Kluyveromyces lactis: one gene and its partners. The protein of the gene in region 3 interacts with the protein of the main gene of each other region in a biochemical or structural test. Links are inferred from orthologs where the notes say so. Each region holds a gene or a part of one and is shown on either strand. Other genes may lie near its edges.

Region 1 (2,678 bases), on a different chromosome or scaffold from region 3:
CCATATTTTATTGATATCATACACTCACCAGACGTAACGAAATCCGCAAGCTTAATTCTTTTGGCAAGTTGCATGACAAGACTTGTATTATTACCGTTGGATCTCGTCAGAGTTAGGTTAATTATCTCTTCTGTTCGTAACGATGGTTCCCTTTCTGATAACGATAGATCCTTAAGAAAATTGTTGAGAAAATGGTCCTGGAGGGAAAACATATCCAAACTAAATAAGGAATTGGTCTTTTTGAATATATTATATTCCCTGGTAGGGACAGGATTTAGCAAATTAACCGGTGCAATACTATATCATCAGTTCAATGTTGACAAATTCACTAATGTGATTCTGTACAACACATTAAAGTTCTGCAGTAAAGTTTGTGAACTCTTCGTAAAGCTACCAATTGAGAATCTATTGAGAAGGAGTCAAGTGAAGTTCTTGTTCACAGAAAACCCATTCCAAGTACAATCTGAAATGTTAATCATAAAACCAAGGGAGTACCAATCCATCTACCTGACGGTATTCAAGCAGTGCGACAGAATTAGTGAACTATGGCGAGGCTGGAGACTCGGGCTTCTAAGCATTTTATGCGGTTATGGTTTGAAGATTTTAAATAAGCCATCAGAAATACTCGAAGAGGAGAAGTTTTAGTTCATGTAGATATCTATAAGTGAACTGGACATTGAAGGAAAACATACATATATAAAATAATAATAATAATACAGATGTCTTTAGTTTAAGAAAGTCGTAAATTCATATCTACGATGAAGGCTTCTGGTTCATTTCGCTTGCATCAATCAAGAACTGGCCTAATACTCGAAGTGGATCCTCGGGCTTTTCTCTGGCTATCAGTTTCATTCCTTCCAATAAATGTTTTGTTACATGTTCATTCAAATATCTTCTAGTGGTTGACCCACCGATCATCGCTACTGGATCAACACGATCATGATCAATTTGTAGTTCCTTCTTGGGTGATACTTCTCTTTCTGTTGTAGCTGCAGTTGCAGAGGTAACAGTTCCAGATGATTCCCTTGGTATACCCGATGGAGACAGGGGTTCAGTGGTAGAAATCGAAGAGACGCCAATATCCGGTACAATATGTTCTTCTTTCTCAAGTTTTACCACATCTTCAGGTGCCATATTCTCCATCACTGGTTCTGACATGTAGATAAGCTTCAGTTGTGGCAGGAGACCAGGATTGGAGCTTTATTCGGCCAAGTCTAGGTGTAGATCTGTCCATGTATATAGTCAAAACTCAGTGATTTTTCAAGATTGTCAATAATAAAAGGAAAATAATAACAAACTGAAATCTTAAACAAAGTTCACCAAGGCAGGTACAATTCGAGCTCCCCAAGAAACAGACCGCACTGAATCAGGTAATACCAATATTATATCAAAATTAACCACCAAAAGCAAAGAGGACAAAATGGATCCATTTATTCAGGTTTTCAAGGACACAGAGGAACAATTGAACCAATTATTGCAGATATTAGATAGGAAGAAGAAAGGGAGATCGAACACCAGTTCGAAAGAGATCTCGGAAATCATCTCTGAGGCTCAAGAGACTATCCAAGATCTAAATGAGAGTATAGAAATGATGAAACAGGAACAAGCTATTCCCGAATACGAAATTCAGACCCGTGAGAAGTCCATGGCAAACCTGGAATCAAAATTGAAACAATGCCAGTCGTTAAATATCGAGACAACCCGCGACACCGATGCAGCTACCCAATCATCATTGCTGCCGCAGCAACAACAGCGTGGCGATTCCTTCGATTTGGACATCGAGGCAACTGCAGGCACCGACCAATCAGACGCGGCAAACCACGACGCCGTACAGGAGCAATTACTCCGTGAACAAGACAATCAATTGGACATGATTCACCAGACAATGCAAAACATTCATCTACAGGCATCTACAATGGGTCAAGAACTAACAGAACAGGGCATGATTCTCGAAGAAATGGACGGAAATGTCGACGGAGTCATGAACAAACTTTCCAGAGGAAGACGACAACTAGAATGGGTCTACGAACACAACAAAGAACGTGTCAACGACTGCTGCATCTTTCTCTTAATCATTGCATTGATCATCCTACTAGTACTAGCATTCATTTTGTGATGTATATCACCGAATTTGAACCGGGAACCAAACAGAAACCAAAAAAGGAAGAAGACGATGCACATTCCCGAGTAACGAAAGGTGCGAAGTTTCCTAAGAGAAACTGACACAATTCTTGACCCCCCAGTTGACGGATCGTCATCGTCGTCGTTCCATTCCTCTGATAGACAAAATACCTCTCGACACTGTTGCGGTATGGAAAAAAATCGGAAATCACAACATACGACAGCGGCTTTGAAATCGTACCACAATGGAGCTTTCGAACTGATTTTTTTGTTGAAATATATAGAAAGTATGGAAACTGAGAAATGGAAAAGTATTAAGACCAAGTTAGTTTTTAAGGTACAAAAGCAAAAGGTTGCTTGCTGGATTGGGTTTTTTGCACGTCAAGCTACAGTGTCAGATCCAAGACTATCGAAGAGAGCGATTTCATTTAAGAGGCGAAGGGCACTAGGATTAGGACGGAGTTGATAATACTTACTGGCATTCATTCCCGGATTTTCTGTGTCTTGTAATTATCGTTTGTTTCCCGACTTTTTTTTTCTTTCTCTATTTAGGATTT
Region 2 (3,707 bases), on a different chromosome or scaffold from region 3:
AGATCCCCTCTTTTACAACCTTTGGATCGAAGCACCGGAAGTAGTACGTCTTCCACGATATATGATCTTCTAGATCGAGATCAAGATGATATGGATTTCGATCTGGAATTGTCACTGGATAGGAACACATTAGGACATGGGGCTTCACTTCCGATGATGACGATACCGCGTTCTGTCGTTGGGAAGGATCAAGAGTTTGTCAGTTACACGGATCATACTGCTGAGGATAACTACAAGCTTTGGTTGAACTATAATTTGACAGGATAGTTAAGAGGATTCCTGAACATCACAATAACTTTGCAATACTTAAACACAAACACAACACAAACACACTCACTCTCTTTATGAACAACACGCTATGATTATATGGGCTCTCTTATGCTGGCCCCTTTTCCTCCTCCAGGTGGAACTCCTGGCACAATCGCTTTCACACATTTTCTACATCGAAGATAGATAAGATACAGCAGTACTTTCTGATATTATATAGAATATGTTTATGATGTATACCCCCGCCATGGCGACTTTAACGATCTCACATTTTGCATTTTTTAATTAACATTTTATTTATAAGACTCTTCCTTCATCTTATATTGGTTAACCTAGTCGTGTTCACATGGATCTTGATATCCAAATCATCGGTGCTCTCCTCAATCCGCTTGATCCGATCTTGTTGAGAATCTATCTCCTTACCAGTGGTAATCGCAAGTTTCTTTAACCTACCACTGATTTGTCCAATCTTATCCAAGTTCTTGTCGATTTCCATTTCCATTTCATCATCTTCTTCGTCGTTCTCGAACTGATACCTTTTAGCCTTCTCTAAGATCTGCTGGTTCTGGTACCGATCACGAACTTCAGATGGACCATGTCCACTCGACATGGCATTCTCGATACGTTTCGTACTTTGGTGTAACGTCGACGTGATATCCTCTTGGTTTTGTTTGTCCTGCATCCTTTGTAACTTTATCTTATCTTCCGCTTCGCGTGCACGTCTCTTACTATGGAACGGATTCGATACATGGACCGCTAAAATGTTCCGGTTTAACTTCTTCAATTCACTCACTTTATCATCGGCAACTCTGTTCTGGATTTGCATTAAATTCAGGTTTCTTTCCACATTGTTCAATTTCTCCGATTGATGTCCTAACATACCGATGGTATTCATACCAGCTAATTCAGCATCCTGTGCCATCTTTAGCGTGTTTCTCGTACTGGCAACTGAACTCTGTTTTGTAAATTTGATCTGTTGCTTGATCCCATCTACTTCTTCATCTTCTTCTTGTTGTTCAGCACGCTGACTTTCTTTTTGAATATCTTCAAATGTCTGATAACCCTTTGCAGGGGTCCCAATACCCTCGTTCTCATGAATGGAATTGTTTAAATCATCATCATCACCGTTGCCATTGCGTTGAACTCCCTTAGGATTATCAATTTCTGGCCTAATTGTCTCATTGAGATCTATTTCGTCATCAGCTCCGGACCGTTCGAAATTAAATTCACGGTCGTTTGATCTGGTTGCAGATGTAGAGTGACGAGGTGAGGCATAAGATCTACTTGAAACATCAGAAGCCGCCACATTTGGAGTAAAGCCCTTATATGCATTCACGCTACCAGAATTTGAATACGAATTTGTTCCATACGGATCCTGACTGTTCATGTTAGCATAAGGGTTACTAGGTCTCTGACCGGTAGCACCATTATTATTGCTGCTAGATGCCTGCGGAGACGGACTTGCGTATGTATCACCACTATAGCTGTTACTGCCATAGCTTTTGTTGCTGTAGCTATTATTCATTGATCCATACGGGTTATTGTTCTGCTGCAGTGGCGCGTTGTAACCGGTATCATATGGAGAAGCACTTGCATTTCCATAGGGAGAGGAATCACTGTTCCCATACGGAGATGCATTATCATTGCTATATGGATCAACGTAGTTGCCCGTGTGTCGAGCGCTGGCAGAAGCGTTTCTATTGTTAATCATGGAGACTTCATCGTAAGGAGAGTTGTTCAAATCATCCAACTGCTGTCGCTCAGAAGGCTGAGCTCCAGGATTCGCATATTGTTCATATCCTTCTGGTGCATAGACCTTACTTTTGACCTTATCGTTAGCAAACTTCCCATATGCGGCAAACTTTTCTCTTCTATTTGATGGTGTAGTCTTGGTGGAAATTCCTAACTCGTTCAAATATTCACGGTTTTCTTCGGGGGTAGCCTCTGGAGGTGGCTTGATCTTGAAGAACTTCTTAATACCCATGGTTTCACTACGGTAACAGCAACCTTTTAACCTTATTTGATCGATGTTCCCCTTTTACCTTGTCTTTACCTATCTAAAAATTGATGTTAAAGGAACTACAACTTTTCGATTCTTTTGTTTCATTTAAATTTAAAGGTTTCTTTTGGGTCCAGTAGTACTTAGTGAACCACGATGCACAAAATACAAAAGAAAGAAGGAAATAAACAGTATGGGGTTGATGCAAATGCCAAAGAGCAATCAAAATAAAAATTGTACTATACAGATCCAGAGATATACACCAATATTACATTAAAAAATGGGGCGATAATGGGGGCCAAAACGATATAAATGACAGAAGAGAGCGATTGTATCAATTCCTTTTATGAGTAAGTTTCGATCAAAGTATCACGCAAGTTACCAGAGATAGCTTCTGGTTGAGCGTCTTGTAGACGGAAGATAGATTCGATCACACTTAATTCTGGAGCGGTGGTATCTAGACCAGTAACTGCCAAATAGTCGTTCACGACCATACCAGCACCGACGACTTGCGAACCACGGTTCACAGTACCAGCAACTAGTGGGACTTGCAACAAAGAGGAAAGTTCTTCTTGGTCTTGTACTGTAGTCTGAGGATGCACTAGACCACCTTGGTTAGACAACGCACAATATGAACCAACAAGAACGTTACCCGAAATTGTTTGACGGAAAACTTCAACACCTAAGACATCGGCAATCAACTCCTCAGTTTCTCTGTCGATGTCTGGATGAACCAAAGCAACATAATCATTACAACAGATAACATTACCTAACGCAGATAATCTCTCCTCAACTCTTTGAACCTTCACAGCATCTGGCAAACAGTTTCTCAAATGTTGTAATTCTTGGTCGGTAGTTTGAGTTGGAACCAATAACCCTCTACGGTTACCAGCAGTCATACGACCAACAATCCTCGTACCTGCAATAGTGGTATGAGCAATAGGAATAGCATCTCCTAATTCGGCTTCAAACGCAGAATAAAAGTTCTCCGAACCACCAAGTGCCACCAAACAGTACGAGTTAGTTAGCTTCGAAAACACACCAATTTCGTTAGAATTCTCAAATTGTGTCCTAGTCGCCATAATTTCAGTTGATTTATCTGCAGTGGTATACTGGCGTAACAAGCAGAACTAGTGTTTATAAGTCAGAAGAACTGTACTAATTCAAGCCGAATCAACCATCCGCAAGATGAGATGAGATGAGCTTAGAAATTATCCAGTGAAATCTTTAAAATTTTCCATATTGCAGTGTTTTAAAGAAACGAAACACAAATTAGGTTACCCGGAGAAGAACACACATACAGTACTATATGGGTATCTCGTACCCTTATAGATGTATAAATTTGATCAGTGAGAGTTATCCAACAACCGTTCGAAGCTTAGACGAGAAATAGCTCTCCATTTCACATTCTTTCTTCTGATCACCAGACGATTCAACGCAG
Region 3 (2,534 bases):
ATAAAATTACCAGTAACGTCGATTATAATATTGTAAAAGCCTTTTCAAAGAATTATATATTTATATGTTTATACAAATTTGAGTATTAGGTACATTTTCTTTACCAGTATATAACCACATAGTGGTAGACGGGAATGAAATGCATTTCTATTCATGTCAGAAAAATGATGAAGCATGGCCAAATTAATGCTATAGTTCTGAGAAGAATAAGTTTATCTGCTAGATTTTTTAAGGTAAACATATATGATCAACAGAAATGCACATGCAAATGTCCCGGTCTAAATAGCATGTATCAAAAAGGAAAGAAAAAGCACAGAAGCTACTGTTAATGCCAGGCTTCCATGACTAATCCATATCGCATCTTTGCACAATTTAGATGGCATCACATGGTCTGATGGAATATCGTATAGAGTATCGGATTGATTTCGTATCATTAAAAGTAAGAATCGTGATAAAGCAGGGACAAAAAAAAGCATAAAACTGTAGATGAACGGGTTTCAAAATGAAATAAAACAGGAACCTTTGAGTTCAACCCTATGATAATCTTGAGGTTGATATTCATCCTATTCATTTAGAAACTCTAGCTGAAATGAACTGCGATAGGAACGATGATGACAATCAAAAGTATAATTACCACTAGAACCAAACACATTCTCATCTTCAAATCTTTCCACCACATTTGCTTTCTTACTCTGTTGGCCCCTCTTTTGAAACCTTGGGCGGACACGGCCAAATTGTCAGCCTTGTCTTGTATCGATGTTAGCCTTTCACCACGTTCGGCAACTTTGTTAATGTTATCTCTCATAATATCGACGGTATCATCGATTTCCTATTTGTAGAGACAAAACAGACAGACGGACAGCAATCGTCATGTCGTTTCAACTCAAACTGTTAGTATCTTTGAAGTTCATATTAGAGCTAAAGTAAAATAGTTAAATGCATTTCAAACATACGGATTTCAAAGCTGCAGTCTTTGAGTCACCTGCGGTCTCTTCGGTAGCAGGGACATATGGGTCGTATGGAACAGATGATGACATTGTTGCTTAATTATTTTATACTTCTCAGCACCTAAGTTCCGGTTCAATTGATAGCAAACTATTATTTCACAACTACTAGTCAAATCTCACTGCAAATTGGTTAGTACTTTTGAAAATGGTTCAAATCCACCATGATAAAGGTTTAAAAGCCTGTTTGTTCTTTAAATTAACTTCTAAATCTATCCATTTTTCGATTTGCCGTTCAAAAAACAGTACCGGGGACAAATTGCCACCGTCAATAGTGATTAGGATTTGAATCTATACGTGCATAGTGATTAATGGTTTGTGAATCAAGACACGAAGCCTTACGCGTAAATGATATTTTACTACATAGACAACAAAACTATGTTACATTTACAATCTAAATAATCCTCCGCTAAAGCACGTCATGGCTACTACTATAAGGCTAATATCAACTAGAACATTTCGACAAATGTTGCAGCTTCCTTAACGATGTACAATCTCCGAGAAAGAAGAACAAGATATTTTAAACAACAGAATGGTGTAGTGCGGAGGAAGCAACGCTCACAGGGCGATTCATGTCTGTCAGAAGTTAGCTCTGTTAATACACTTGTCGATGATGATGACGATGAAGGCGTTTATTCTGATTCAAATTGTGGAGAAGGTGAAGACCCGCACTTTTCATCTTGTGAAGAGAACACTGAAATGTATCCAAAAGATGACGATGATGATGATGATGATGATGATGCAGGTGAAATCACGAACAGTAAATCAATCCCAACAGAACCTCAGAATGAGTCTGAAAAACCTATGTTCAACAGAGCAACATAAAACGATTCCTCATTCGAAGCTCGACAGAATGTCAATAATTGCAAAGTAGCAGAACAGGGCACGACCATGCAACAATCAATTCGTTCATCTTCAGTAAATGAGCATGGAACTGCTATATCTCAAGAACTGAATGGTTCTTTACAGTATACTGGTACTGTCAATATTATCCAAACAATTTCGATTCCTTCCTCAAACTGGGACTACTCTGGGAGTTCAAAAAATAAACCACATGACACTTTCCTTCAACCTAGCGACTTCCACGGTTATGGCAGTTCAAGTGACTCAGATCGAAACATAGATTCAAAATCGACAGCCATCCAGCGAAGCGAAACACATGCTAACGAATATCTCAGATCAGAAGCAGCATTCAAGAGGAAATTCAACTTCGGGTTCGAAGACTTTTCTTTTAATCCCTTCAGTAAGCCATTTTTAGTCATGGGTCCAGGGGAAGATAATATTCGGGGGCAAGTTGAAAAAAGATTCAATGCTTGGCTCTCGTCCTCTCCTTATGCGATCTGGGTTACTAAGGTAAAAGATGAATCACCTTTTGCAGTGTGCAAATATGAGAAATGTGAACATAGATTTACTTTAGATGGAAATCCCACCTCATCAAATATCGTCAGACACCTGAGGCGACAACATAATCGTGATTATGAACTTTTTAGGAAACGTTTAGTGAATGAACAGAGAGTGCTCGATTCATTT
Region 4 (2,694 bases), on a different chromosome or scaffold from region 3:
GTCGTTAATTAACTTAACAGCTACGCAACTTGAGTTGACAGAAGAGGAGAAATATCTACATTGTATTGGTAGCACAAGACGTGAATCTGCAAAACTTGCTCAGCGCTCCGGAAGCATCATCAGTAGCGAAGAAGACGATGAAGAAGGTGTGACCTTCGAGAAACTGAAACAGAACCAGTTAGCCGAAGAAGAATCACGTCTAGTAAATGAATTAAGGAGGCGTCTATCTCATACCACTATCAATTCAGCTGATGAAGATGAATTAGAATGTCTTCCATGAACAGCGCTATGCTATTCTGACCGGCCTTTTTCCATCACTATTACTATCATTATCATTATTATTTTTATTATTATTATTTCTTATATCGTTCTTATTTTATATACAACTAGATAAGTATTCAAAATCAGATATCATTTATACACGGTAAATTGTATTCTTCTCATGAGAGTATAAAATTATACCACAAGGGTCAAAATTAAAATTATATAAATTCATTACTATAGCTATTCTGCTTAAACTTGCATTGAGACTGAACTAAAAGACGCAGAGAAATCGATTACTATTTGAATTTGGAGAATATCACTAACAAGATAAGTAGTATCAAAACCGCTATTATTGCGTAAGAAATGAACTTATTGGCTATGAGTCTTCTAGTCATGGTTTTCAAAGTGCGAATACTCTTGTCGACGTACGAATCAGCATGGAACAAAGTTTGTCTTGCATTCTCCAATGTTTCTCTTTGAGATCTCAAATCCATCATTATCTGTGCACCAACGTTCTCAGTCTCGGATGCCAGTCTTGTAGCATCCTGTAATTTATCACCAGAACGTTGTAAAAGCGCATGGTTCGATAAAAGCTGTTGCCTTTGTTCATCATTATCGAAGTGGCGACCTTCAAGTAACTTATTCCTATCGCTTTCTTGCACCAATTGCTTTAAAGGATCCTTAATTTCATTCTGACACTGTCTCTTATAATCTCTGATCTTTGCTTTATAAGATGCCCTTGTCTTAGAATCCAACGAGTTCCCTGTATTATTCAACTCTATTTCCATTTGATCCACTAATTCTAAAGATTCATCATGGTACTGTTGAATTTGTAAAAGTATATCCGATTTTCCACCTTTTAAAACAGCACCGGCATCATTCTTAGCATTAGCAAGCAAAACCTTCGCCTGGTTTATAGCGACTTGACATTCAGATTCATAGTTCTGCAATAATGAGGACATCCTGATAAAATAATATGGTTCAGAACCTTCCTTTTTATATTATCTCTTCCCGAATTTCACAACCTAAAGGAAATTTAAGGTTTGAATGTAAACTTGCAGGCCAATGTACGTCTGAAGTAGGCCCCGTTACCAGCTATAACAGCTTAATCACCAGGCCTGCTTTTCGTTGATTCCTAACATTAACTTGAACTCATGGGAGAAGCTTCAATAAAGGGAATAGAAAGAAAAAGAAAGAAAAATACATTGTTCACGTGACTTTGATTGAGTCATGTAAAGACCAGTATCTAGATAAGGGCAAACAATCATTTTGAACCACATCCGCCAAATCCGCGGAAGACCGAGGTGGAATCAGGCCCAGAAACGGTCTGTTTTTTTTGTCTTTGGTTTCATTTCATACCGGCGTTTTCATGAACACTGACAAATTGGGAAAAATCCGATGAGATTCAATAATTGAATGATTAACAATAAGCATTTGCCAATTTCGATGTGAACTGAAGGGAGAACTAGATATAAAGCAACCTTTTTTTGCCAAATAAAAGCTACTTAAGAATCAGAGTTGATAAAAGTTCAGGACAGCTTTTTTTCTCATTGTGGTATAGCAGACGGAAAGGGTCTTTGGTTTCCTTTTAGTAACACTTATCGTTGTTGTTTGTGAATTATTTTTAATCATCCATATCTATTTGGAAAAACTCCTGTATAATCAATGATCAGAGGAATATTGACTAGACAAGCTGGGCATCTGAACCAGTTAAGAGCCAGAAGCATTACTTCTCCTAGCATCTCTCACAACATATGGTTAGCCCGTACAAATTTGTCATGGAAGAGATACCATGGACATTTACATAAACCGAAACCGGGAGAAGAGTTGCATGTGACATTCATATTGAAGGATGGAACACAAAAGACTTTTGAAGTGGCAGAAGGGGACTCTCTCTTGGATATAGCTCAAGGCCATAATCTAGATATGGAGGGTGCCTGTGGTGGTTCTTGTGCTTGTTCGACCTGTCACGTGATTGTGGACCCAGACTATTACGACGCATTAGAAGAACCTGACGATGATGAAAATGATATGTTGGATTTGGCTTACGGGTTAACTGAGACAAGTAGATTGGGATGTTGCATTAAAATGAATAAGGATATCGATGGTATCAGAGTCGCTCTTCCTTCAATGACAAGAAATGTTTCATCTTCAGACTTCGAATAGAGAGAATGACTAAACTGAATTCAGTCATCATATGAAAAGAGACAGCTTTAGATCTTTCTTTTTTTCCCAACAGGGGAAGCATGACATGAGTGACACCAGTTGCATTACCTGTAAATAGGAGCAATCAACCAAGCTCGTTCGCAGTCCATTATCATTATTATTATTTATCATGCATCAGTAAAAGTTTCCCCACGCTGTGTACCGGTGCTATCTATGCACAATACATACATAGTTAAAGGTATTTTACTGTTACCCGGTTACCAT

Evidence for each region.
Region 1: the proteins of KLLA0_A03883g (region 3) and TLG1 form a complex in vitro, tested with the Saccharomyces cerevisiae proteins (2 studies listed by BioGRID). The link is inferred for Kluyveromyces lactis from reciprocal best matches to the Saccharomyces cerevisiae genes SNC2 and TLG1.
Region 2: the proteins of KLLA0_A03883g (region 3) and SEC9 form a complex in vitro, tested with the Saccharomyces cerevisiae proteins (5 studies listed by BioGRID). The link is inferred for Kluyveromyces lactis from reciprocal best matches to the Saccharomyces cerevisiae genes SNC2 and SEC9.
Region 4: the proteins of KLLA0_A03883g (region 3) and VTI1 form a complex in vitro, tested with the Saccharomyces cerevisiae proteins (3 studies listed by BioGRID). The link is inferred for Kluyveromyces lactis from reciprocal best matches to the Saccharomyces cerevisiae genes SNC2 and VTI1.

The regions. Positions count from the first base shown.
Region 1 is NC_006041.1:318,747-321,424, forward strand, and holds TLG1 (Tlg1p), read left to right. Parts: upstream 1-1,420; coding exon 1,421-2,116; downstream 2,117-2,678. Other genes in the region: mitofusin complex protein UGO1, read left to right, coding at 1-645; SDC1 (Sdc1p), read right to left, coding at 754-1,158.
Region 2 is NC_006040.1:173,297-177,003, forward strand, and holds SEC9 (Sec9p), read right to left. Parts: upstream 2,252-3,707; coding exon 581-2,251; downstream 1-580. Other genes in the region: ECL1 (Ecl1p), read left to right, coding at 1-267; TIF6 (translation initiation factor 6), read right to left, coding at 2,611-3,348. UniProt on the Saccharomyces cerevisiae protein: Component of a SNARE complex that may be the effector of SEC4 function in exocytosis.
Region 3 is NC_006037.1:343,145-345,678, reverse strand, and holds KLLA0_A03883g (uncharacterized protein), read right to left. Parts: upstream 1,038-2,534; coding exon 954-1,037; intron 830-953; coding exon 581-829; downstream 1-580. UniProt on the Saccharomyces cerevisiae protein: SNC1 and SNC2 are vesicle-targeting proteins essential for normal secretory traffic between the Golgi and the plasma membrane. They may also be involved in vesicle fusion.
Region 4 is NC_006038.1:899,637-902,330, forward strand, and holds VTI1 (v-SNARE protein VTI1), read right to left. Parts: upstream 1,227-2,694; coding exon 561-1,226; downstream 1-560. Other genes in the region: KLLA0_B10263g (uncharacterized protein), read left to right, coding at 1-280; YAH1 (adrenodoxin), read left to right, coding at 1,930-2,430. UniProt on the Saccharomyces cerevisiae protein: t-SNARE found in various SNARE complexes involved in multiple transport pathways. The composition of the t-SNARE complexes is specific for a limited number of v-SNAREs and therefore allows only the vesicles carrying the matching v-SNARE to fuse.